2 linked regions of the Mus musculus genome follow. The protein of the gene in region 2 interacts with the protein of the main gene of each other region in a pairwise test. Links are inferred from orthologs where the notes say so. Each region holds a gene or a part of one and is shown on either strand. Other genes may lie near its edges.

What was found.
Region 1: the proteins of Arl15 (region 2) and Unc119 interact in binary tests that used the Homo sapiens proteins (3 or more experiments, as listed by UniProt). The link is inferred for Mus musculus from reciprocal best matches to the Homo sapiens genes ARL15 and UNC119.

What each region holds. Positions count from the first base shown.
Region 1 is NC_000077.6:78,341,279-78,347,160, reverse strand, and holds the start of Unc119 (protein unc-119 homolog A), read right to left. Parts: upstream 3,667-5,882; 5' UTR 3,595-3,666; coding exon 3,375-3,594; intron 1,578-3,374; exon of another isoform or gene 1,479-1,577; intron 452-1,478; exon of another isoform or gene 427-451; coding exon of another isoform or gene 402-426; intron 1-401. Other genes in the region: Pigs (GPI transamidase component PIG-S), read right to left, coding at 5,152-5,427, 5,726-5,882. UniProt on the Homo sapiens protein: Involved in synaptic functions in photoreceptor cells, the signal transduction in immune cells as a Src family kinase activator, endosome recycling, the uptake of bacteria and endocytosis, protein trafficking in sensory neurons and as lipid-binding chaperone with specificity for a diverse subset of myristoylated proteins.
Region 2 is NC_000079.6:113,964,795-113,970,023, forward strand, and holds part of Arl15 (ADP-ribosylation factor-like protein 15), read left to right. Parts: intron 1-2,787; coding exon 2,788-2,996; intron 2,997-5,229.

The DNA.
Region 1 (5,882 bases), on a different chromosome or scaffold from region 2:
GTTTCAGTGGGACCCCGTGGCCCGCTCCAATGATCCCTCTGACCACTTCCCTCCAGAAAGAGAACTGTGCCCCTATCTTGAAAAGTACCTACAGTGCAGGGGACAGCATGTTGTCATGGGGACCTCATCAGAGATGAACGGCCCCATCCAGGTGCCTCCTCACAGGATCAGGCAAGGGAAGTCACCTCCACCATACCAACCCTCCCACCCTCTTGGCAATCCTTAACTTCAACCTCTGCTTTGTGAAGGTGGCGTGCATCCTTTGGACAACTAGACCTCCTGCCTACTGGAAGCTCCCAGCCTGAGAGGGACTTCACTCTCAAGGGAGCAGGGAGCTCTGCCTCTTGGGGGAGGAGAGTTACAGTTTTCCCTTGAGTGCGCCCCACTCCCACCACACACACCCTGTGGCATGACATCTACATTCATCAGGCAAGGCTGGTCTTGAGAGGACTTCTCTTTGCATGGACTGTATGGGGGCAGGTTGGTACCCCTTCCCTGTTCTCTTGCCCCTGGCCCCTCCTCCCACCGTAAGCAGCTTATGCTAGCCCAGCTCTCTTAAGCAGCTTATGGGAGCTCTGCTAACTCAAGCCAGGAAGCCCAGGCTACTGGGACAGAAGGGGCCGACTTTGCTCAACAGATCCTCTGCTGATCTCCCAATGGGAGGAAGTCTTAGCAAATAGAGGGAACCCTTAGAGGTCATATTTCCAGCTTTGGCCCTGCGCCATATTCAGGAATAAAAGTGTTTTCTGGTCTTTAGAGAAAAGAACAGAGGCCAAGGCAGAAAGGGTGTGGTGGACACAGCAGGTACAGCAGGGTAAAGAGGAGGCAAGAAGAGTCCTGGGCTCAGAAGGAAACCAAGAGAGCCAAGCATTGCCCAGGGGCGCTCATGGTCTTAACCGTTACCACTCTTCTGTTGCTGTTTTTAAGTCAGGGTTCCATGTAGCCTAGGCTAACCTCAAATTCACTATGTGGCAGATGCTGGCCTTGAACTCCCGATCTTCCTGCTTCCTAAAACCTTACACCAAGTCTTAGGGGAGGCCCTGGCAAGAATTAGGAAGGGGCAGAAAATTGCTGTGGAGACTTGGGTACTGCCAGCCTCCGGTACCACATCCTCTCCGCTGACCTACAGAGGCCCGGAAGTCACCCCCAGGTCCCTGGGCCACCCCCTATCCCTCTGTGGTTGAAAAAGGAAGTGAATATAAAGCTATTCTCTCATCCTTCGGCCTGTCTCCTCCCCAAGCCGGGGACAGCCCCCTCCAGGAAGCCCTCCTGACAGCTCTCTAGCTCGTTGGAGCTGAGGTCTGAGATAAAGCTATAGAAAGATGCTGCAGGGCAGAGGGAGAAGGGGGGGCAGAACTGGAAGCAGAGGCCTAGTTGCCCAACTCCCAGGAAAAGCCTCCTTTCTTACAGCAGGCCCAGCCTGGAACCCTCTCCTCTCACTGGGAAGGATTTCTCACACTCTGCACTCAGTCTCTTACACTGCAAACTCAACTTGTGGGCCTCTCTGCCCTTACAAGGAGCGAGGATCAGGGGCTGCCTAGGAAGGCAGCCACTTCCTCTCCTCAGCCAAGAAAAAGACGAGGCCTAGGACCCAAGGTCAGGCCAGAGTAATGAGCAGAGTGGCTCAGAACCCACCTGCTCTCGTCCTTGTGGACAGAAATAGCTTCCTAATCTGGATTCAAGGCCTGGTAATCCAGAAACAGCAAACCTCAGCCCTGTGTGATTAGGGTCACAAGATGCAGGCAAGGTGGAGAGGCCTGGAACCCTGTTTTCAAATCCTGCACAGAAAAGGGCTCTTAAAGAGGCACTTGTCTTAACTCATCCTCCACATGCTATGCCATTTCCTCCAGACTGGGAGACACATGCTGTGACTTCACCTGGAAGCTTCCTCCATTGCAAAATAAGCCTCCAGTTATCCAGGCCAGAGGCCAGTGAACCTGCCCTCCAACGCACAGGGCCAAGCTAAGCTGTAAGGTCTCCTGTTGCAAAAGGCAGCAGCCCACGGGCTTCCACATCAGCCTGGTCAAGGCCCCTCCCTCCACTGAGGGCTGCCTGGCCAAGGAAGCAAGTGCTGGGGAAGTCTAGCCAAGAATGCCGCTGTCTAGCCCTGGAAGGAGGAGGGAGGCCCCTGGGGACCCAGATGCACAAGCTCAGGCCTGTCATCCTGGTCCCCTCCACAGCTGTCTGGGAGCCCTGGGCTCTGCTGCTCCTGAGGCTAGCGGGTTTATTTCCACACTAGCACCCGTGTCCATCCCAGAGAAGGGAAGTCTAAGCTCACAAGTGGAGCCGGAGCAGGTTGCTGGTGACCTACCCATTCCAAGGCAACCCGCCACTGTCTCTCCAAATACCTTCCATTCCTCAAGGCTCAGCCAACCTTTTGCCAGAAGACTCTCTAGTCCTTGTGCACTGTCTGTAGCGGTGCCTGCCTTGGCCCTGAACGATCACTTATCTGCCTGCAGGCAGCCACTCTGAACAGTCCTATGTAGCTTCCAACACTGTTGATAAAGGAACCCTGTTGACAGCGTGCACAGCATGCCAAACATTGTCCAAAATCAGAAGACTGGCTTTATTTTTCACAATAACCTTGAGGGAGGTAACATTGTTCTTGTTCCCATTTTACAGATGGGAAAAAAAAAAAAAAAAAAAAAAAAAAGCAAACATGCTCCTGCAAATGAAATTACATCCCCAAGGTCACACAGCCAATTTCCGGGCAAACTCTGGGACTCTAATCCAGGTAGCACAGCTCAGAAACTCAGTTTCAGTGGAGACTAGCCTTCCCTTGATGAGAGAGCCCTGGAAAAAGAACAAGTCCTGACTTGGGGGGAGGGGGGTCACGCACTTGCTTCCATCACAGGGCCCACAGCCAACAGACGGAAGCACCCGTATCAGCAATGTTCCTGGGCAGAGTATGGCCTCAGCCTTCCTCGGGGAAGCAGAGTGAGGGCTATAACGGTCGGTCAGGGAGCCTGAAGGTTTTCCTTGCCTCCACCTAGCCTGATGTGGCCACTGAAGACAGCCTGCAATGAGGCACACTCCTCTGTGCGAGCACCCTCAAAGGGTTCCGAAGACTCCACTGGGGAAAGGGTTACAGATGCAGCTGCTGCCCCACCTCCACCATGGGAAAAGGGGTGGGCCCCTTGAAAAAGAAGGAGTGGGGTGAAAAGAAGCCACTTCAAGGAGAGGAGGGGGCGCATCAAGAGACCAAGGGAAAGAGCACAGAGATTTCAGGCTTGGAGGCAAAGAGAGAGAGAGTAAGGGGATACAGAGGAGGGGCACTGCGTGGGGGAGGGGTGGGGGCTGGACTCTGAGCCTCGTGGGCCCCCTCCCGCGCTCTCCCTCCAGCCCGCGGGTGGCGCTCCCTCGCCGGTGCTCACCACCCGTGATCCGCTGCAGCCCCAGCACATCCTCCGGCCCGATGGGCTGCTTGCCCTGCAGCGGCCCCAGCCTGGGCCCCGGGCCTGGCTCCGGCTCCGACTCGGACCCGGACTCAGCTTCCGCCCCAGGCTCCCGCGTGGGCTCCGCGCTCCGGTTCGAGGCCCCTGGAACGGGCTCCGCCCCCGACCCGGTCCCGCCGCCGCCTTTCTTCACCTTCATGGCCTCGCGGGGCCGCAGATCCTCGCCCGCTGCCACCGCCGCCGCTGCTTGCGCCGGCTGGAGCCAGGGGAAGGGGGAGCGTCCGCCGCCCCACCCCCGGCCGGGCCCCAGGTGCCGTCCCGCCTTGGTCACGCCCACGGGAGGCGGGTCACACATACCCCGCCCACCGCCTGGCGTCTCCAGCGGGGGAGCCAGAATCCTGGGGGTCCTTGTGAACTTTTTGACAATGTAGATTCTTTTTGACAATGTAGTTACCGAATACCTCTCCTCTTTCTCTCCTGGGTTCCAACCTCAAGGTCTTTCCCTGATACCTTTGTCCTGACTTCAGCCCAGGTCTCAACCCACCCAGTTCTAAAGTACTTCTTCTCAATTTCCAGCTAACCAGCCCTTTTTTTTTTGTAATACATTAAGTGAAATTCTTGCTTGTTCCCTGACCCTTCCTCCTCAAAGGTCAGCTCTATGAAAGCAGAGATGCTCTATACACTGTTCCTCGTAACACCCTAGCACTACCACACAGCTCCTTGCAGCCAGTACCCACCCAGTATTTTCCTTTGTTGAATTGAGTTGCTATCCCAGGGCTGTCACTGGCTCAAGCTACTCCCCACTAGAACTCCTGCTAAAAGCTGCTTCAGGCACCCTACAATCCGCAGGCACCCTACAACATGCAGGCAGCACAGCCCAGGTGTCGAGCCGTCCCCAGGATGCTCAGGACGGGAGGCAGGAAGAACACATGGTGAGCTAGAACAGGTCAGTCTGCTTCTCACACAAGAACGAGTTATGGTCATCCATATCAACTCATATTCAACCAACGTTTAATAACAGTCTAATGTATGTTTTTAAAGAGCCCAATATACAGAACACTTTTACAGGCTTATCACATTTAATCCAGCCCCTTTCTGAGGGTGACATCATCAGTGCTTTCCCACCAATGGAAACCTGAGGCTCAGGTGAGGAGCGAGGAGCGGCTTAGCTGATGCTCTCTAGTCTGTTAAGTGCAGAAGCCGGAGTCTGATTCAGGCCTGTTGGGTTCCAAGTCAGAAATGTTTTCTCCTGTTCCACACTACCTCTCTGAAAGGGTAGAGGGGAACCTTAGCCACAAGGTAGAAGATCCTAAGCCACTGCCTCCTAGACCAGGCTGTCCCCAGTGGGTGACGCCAGTCAAGAAGCTGAGGAAGGAGGGAGGTGGTCTCAGAAGTGGAGAGGACAGGGCTACAATTCAACTCAAGTACTCCCCTAAATTCACCTCTCAGTGCGTTTGTATGCTGTGCTGACAGGCTGCAAGGACAAAGTACCCCTGTCCAGAGGTAGGCACACAAAGGCTTTCAAGTTCGAGCCAGATATGGAGATCAGGAAGGGTACCTTCTGAGGCTTGTAGGCATGGAGGAGCAAGCCAGTGGACTAGGAGGGGAAGGGAGCCCATCGTGGAGTGCCATCCGTAGAGAGCCCACGGGCGAGAGTGAAGACATGTCATCACCAGCAGACCTTGCCTTGGTCTCTTGGCCCAACACCCTCCCAGCGTGGCTAGAGAGGAGGGCTCCCTCTGACATGCTGCCCGGATCAGTCTATCTTCTCAGGCTTTTTCCAGGACTTGCGAGTTTCCTGAAAGATCTTAACCAGGGACAGGAGGATGGGCACAGCCATGGGCAGGAAGAGGGGAATGTAGATAGCAAACTTCTGGTCGTCGGGGAAATACAAGAGGTGGAGGAGGGAGGGGTCAAAAAAGGCGCGCTCGGAGGAGGTCACGGCTTCCTGGCTGGCAGCAAAGGCGGACGACAGGTGCCCAAGGGCTAAGGCCTTTGCTGCCTTCTGGACGGCAGCCACAGCCCTATATACCTAGGAGGGTGAGGGATGGGGTTAGCAGTATGTCCTAGACGTGGGGCAGGGAGAAGGGCCTGGCCTTTTAGTACCCTCTGAAGTTTCCTAGAGTCCACAGAGGTGTGTGGAAGTTAGTTTAAAAAACAAAACAAGACACAGCTGTTGTTTATTTTCTGAGGGGCAGCTTGAAACTTTCATTTGTCCCCACCTAGACTCCCACTAGGAGCTGGAATGGCTTCCAGAGGAAGCCTGAGATATTTATTTAAGGATGGCATGCCCCCACACACCCTGGCCCACCCCTTCCTGGCACATTTACCTCAGAAGCCACATCATCCTTGATGACAATGTTGCTGATCTTCCCCAGAAGCTGGGCCAGGGAGGTGAGGGTGGTGGTGGCCGTGGCCAGGTTCTCCACGGAGCGAGCCCAGAGCAATCGGTCCAGCTCCCAGGTCATGAGTCCTTCACTCTTTGGT
Region 2 (5,229 bases):
AGTGAGCTAGGCCACCAGCAGGCATGGAAGAAGTAGTTATTGGTGAGTTGCATCCACTGGTTTTCTGGGGTTCCAAAATCAATGAAAGCATTCTGTGCGATGCTCATCGGCTTCGTGGAATCGACAGTAGAACAAACACTTGCATTGCTACGTGAAAGTTGTGTGTCTCCCATTTTTCTGTTAGTAAAATTCGTAGTAAATTTTGGTACACGCACACACGGTCCTTTGTTATTTCTAAATAGTCATCACTGGATGAGTCGGCTGTCACTTCTGTCCTGCAGACTTCTGGATGGGTTTCTAGCATATGGATAGTGTCTGGATTTAGCGTGTAGCAGATGCTGTCAGTATCATACACAGATCTCCTTCCCTGGGCCAGTGCATCCGTCTCCCAGCTGCTGTGCTATTGGCTGCTAATGACTCACACCTGTACCCTTCTCCAGAGGACCACTCTTGGCTGACAGAAACTGCCCCAGCCAGATATGTTGGGAAATCTGGTCCCAGCCCCCTCCAAGTACCTAGGGGCGGCTCGCAGCCAGTAACTATACAGAGATTTCCTGGCCTTGGGACTGGACGTCTTACATGATTCGGTCCAGACTCTAAGAGCTCCATGGAGGATCAAGCTGGGGGTGAGATCTCTGGCGTCAGATCTTCACCATGATTCTGCCCCCAACTAGTTTACTGCTCTCACTTCTGACTTCTCTTGACAGTATTCTTTCTATAATGATGCGTGCAAGCAGGGCTTTTGCCGGCTCTGCTTCTATGGAACATCACCTTAGGTGTGGCTAACCTCTGTAGCTCTCTTGTTCTATTGGTTCTCCAATTACTGAAGCAATCGATTTCACATGTCAAATAATCCAGGGTTGAAATTTCTTTGCTCTTTTATCTTTTATTTGTTTCCTTGGTTCCATCCTTTCTAATGGGTATCAACACTGTTCTCATTCCTCCTGTTTGCTTATTTATGGTCATTTTTCAACTCCCCTTAATGCTTTTATGTATCTAGGCTCTTCAGTGTACTGTAATGGTGAGTTATCTTACATTTTAGGATCTGAAAATTAGTTTCAGAACCTAAGTCAGTTAAACATGCAGCCCTTAGTTACTGGAAGAATTGTATGGTCTATTCTCAACCCTCAGCATGCTGCCAGGAATATAGTAAATAATCAATAAATGTTTGCTGCCTTGTCACACGTATTAATTTTTAATTTATTTGACTTGCTCTAAAGGGGACACTTCAGTGGTGGTATTTTAATACGGTGTCATCAGCACCTCTAGATTTCCTGCTTCTCCCTGAGAATAGGAGCTGCCCAGTTTTATCCAGTGGTGTGTTGGCTTGATAAGGAGAATAGGCTTGATGCACTTCTGCCAGCGGTGTTCTCCCGCCATGGCTCATTTTGAGCTGCTAATACGACATCACTGAACATGGAGTTGGGAGCAAATAGATATGAATGGCCTTTGCGAGCCAGCGTACTCTAACTCTAGTCCCAAATTTGAGCTGTCTGGGTCTCTAACATTTATCACATTATGTCACACATGGGAGCCAAATGTTCAATATGTGATTAAAAACCAGAGTTATTAACTGATTGGAATTGGCTCAAGTGGTGCAGATTAGTAAATTACTTATCTAATTCTTGTTATATAACCAACTACATCCCTTTTGTTTACCACAGATGCACACACACACACACACACACACACACACACACACACACTGGCCCTTCCTGGGCAAATTCAATTCAGAATTGAATTATTAAAACAATTCAATCAGAAATACCAAGAGCCATTAGACGGTTCTTCCTGACTTTCCTCCTAAGCACCGTGTCTCACCGACGCCATGAGTATGTGCATTGTCTTTGCTTTGCCTCATGAGTAGTAAACCCAAGTAGATTTATACAGGTACATGAAAGGCCAAGATTTTAGTGGTTCACAAATTTCAGTATTTAGTCATAAAAAGTTATTATGCTAATAACCCTGTTCATGGAGTTAAACAAGGCCGCTCAGCTCTGTCCAGTGTCTGCTGCTACAACAAAGTACAGACTGGGCAATTTCTAACGAAAAGAAATTTACTGTAGGTCTGGAGGCTGGAATGTCCCAGGTTGAAGCTCTGTGTCTGGTGAGGGTCACAGTGCATCTTAATGTGGCAGCTGACATCACTGCTCAGAGACACTAAGCAGGAAAGTGTGGTTGTCTGTTTCTCCTTTCATAAAGTCATATCCCATCATGGCGCCCTTACCTTGTATCACTAACTCTGACTATCTCCATAGGTCCCAGCTCCAAATGCCATCAACGTAAAATCAAAAGATTAAGTTCCTGTCATGTGAACACTTGGTGAATATTTCAAGTGTTGCCTTATTCTGTTATAAGTTACCACCAAGCGTGTAGCACTGGTATACCAAGGTGGTGAATGTCTGGGTCAATTTGCTGTCTGAGATGGGATGTCACTCAGTTTGGGAAGAGTGTAGTTCATTTGGGATTGATAAACAAAGTCTAAAACATTCTTTCGACTTTAATGATTTAAAAGAGTTTTCCTGGTCATTTCCTCCCTGTTTTGCTATAAAGCATGAAGATCAGTGTAAACATGTGTGCTATGTATGCTTCCTGGCTGCAGTCTATGGACTATGATGCCTTCATCTTATCTACACGACCTGCATCTTTTAGATTCCTGGTCTATACCACAGACTTCAGCCCTCAGTTTCTGAAAAGATACATTGGTTCCCAGTAGAAATTGTTATTGCTGTGTTTCTAAGTTGATGAGTTCTACTTTTAAAATGGAAATGCATTTCGTTTCGACAGGAGCTGACAATATCCGGAAATACTGGAGCCGCTACTACCAAGGATCTCAAGGGGTCATATTCGTATTAGACAGTGCCTCTTCAGAGGATGACTTAGAAACTGCTAGGAACGAACTGCACTCCGCTCTCCAGCACCCACAGCTATGCACTTTACCCTTTTTGATATTGGCCAATCATCAAGACAAGCCAGCAGCTCGCTCAGTACAAGAGGTATGCACGACTCTTAAATGCCGTAAGTCTGTCCACTGTCGAACTATGGCCGCCGCTGTCAAGTCTAGGAAGACTGTAGACCTATGAGTGTGCTGGGTGTGCTGTTTTTGCTTCAGAACCATCATTCTCCTGGGAAGGGGGAAGCCCATTATGAGACCAGTGAAAAAGCACATTTATATACCTAAGGTTGCTTGAAAAACAAATTCTTTTTTAACCGGAAGATAGCCCTGGGTGTTCCCCCATTTCTTTTGAGGGGGTAAAGGTCTGGCTAACTTAACATTTTCATTTAACCTTTGGCTTGTGTCCTTCGCCACTAGCTTTCAGAAGGTTACACTGTGGCTTTGGTAGCCATCACTCAGCCTCAAGTACCGTGTTCTTGTTCCTCTGAAATACTTGCTGTTGCTGCAAGCCTGGTGTCTTATCTCGCAAGTTCCATGCCCCCCAAAATATTTCAACATGGAGTCACTGTTTCCTTCCCAGTGCATTTCTTTGCTTGTTTCTCTCCTATGAAAGTGGGAGGCTATTCTGGGTAAACAGTGTCCCTCTGAGCCAAGTTTTTGATTTCTGGCACTAAAAAATAATACGATGTAAGTAGCATGTAACTCGAACCGCCACTGTTGAGTTCCTTTGCACCTGCACTTTGTAGAGTGTATTTTTTACCATCTCCTTCAGAAAACTGCAATGCCCTGAGTGGTTTAAGATTAAAGTGATTACAAGGAATAACATTGCCGTTCAGTCTGAAAAAGCAGATAAGGAATGAAGAGTACAGTGTGATTTAGCTCCAAGCCTTGCTCACACTTAGCCAAGAGCCATGGCTAGTAGCTTTGTTCGTATGCCCGGCTTCCCACCTACTTATTCTAAGTGCAGAGGATTAATTTGAATGATTTATTCTCATTTCACAGTATTAATACATGGAAGAGTGCCCATGTATAGATACTTCTTACTTGTTTAAAACAACAACAAAAAAAGTGAACCATTATGATTTATTACTCAGCCCACAGAGCTGTCTGTGGTTGCCTCTGTTTGTCTTCAAGACTCACTACCCTTTCACTTTATAGATTCTGGAAAATATATTTGGTAGTAATTAAAGAAAAGTAGCAGTTTGGTCATGGTGGCGCACGCCTTTAATCCCAGCACTTAGGAGGCAGAGGCAGGCAAATCTCTGATTTCAGGGCCAGCCTGGTCTACAGAGCAAGTTCTAGGGCAGCCAGGGTTACACAGAGAAACCCGGTCTTGAAAAACCGTCTCCCATGCCCCCTCCCAAAAAACAAAGAAAAAAAAATAGCCATTTATGTTATTACCATTCCGCTGTCCCGCTGTGCAGTTGCGAGGCCTCCTGGATCTGCTGTTAGCATCCTGGTCCTCTGGCTTGCTTCGCAACATCAGACCTTCTATCTGTGGAAGGAATATGAGAGAATGTCACAGCGCGTCCTTAACCAGTGGCGTGTCTCTTTACGTTGGTGCTTGACTCTAAAGTATGCTGTCATTCTCACAGGCAGTATGTGTTCCTGTAAATATAAGTATCCATGTATTAAACGTGTGTATGATATGTTAGAATGATGTTAGATGTAGTCGCTGACAGGATGTCTTCGGGCTTTTTAAAGAAATATTTTCTTAGATATCAGATGTAACTAAGACAAAGTTTTTGAAAGATGTATTTTCATCATTTTCAGTTGTGGCGGGGAGGGTATGTGAATGTGAGTATAGATGCCCTCGGAGGTGACAGGCATCCATCCGATCCCCTGAGAACTGAACTTGCATCCTCAAGAAGAGCACTCAACACTGGGCCCTGTCTCCAGTCCCAACACAAACACTATTTAAACCTAATACCTGATTCCCAGTCTCCTCTGTAGGAATTAAAGATTCACATCGAAGGGAGGAAGCTTCTAGCAGTTAGTTGGTTCTGAGTATCTTTTGTGTGTGTGTTAACCGACTATGTCTCCTTTACAAAAGAAGAAGGAGAAGAAGCAGCCTAACTATCCCTTTTTGATTCACTAACTGATGTCTGTCAATATGGAAAATTCACATTGCGTGCAAATGATTCCAAGCCTGTATGCACTGGAATGCACGAGAACTTCATTTTCCTTCCCACTTGTATCAACTTTAAATAATTTTCTCAGGTGATTTTGCTTGAAAATAGAATTTATATAATACCAGTTTGAAGATATTTTAGGTAAAGCACTTTCCCTCGTCAACACATATCAGCACATATCATACAGTTACCTTTTTTGGA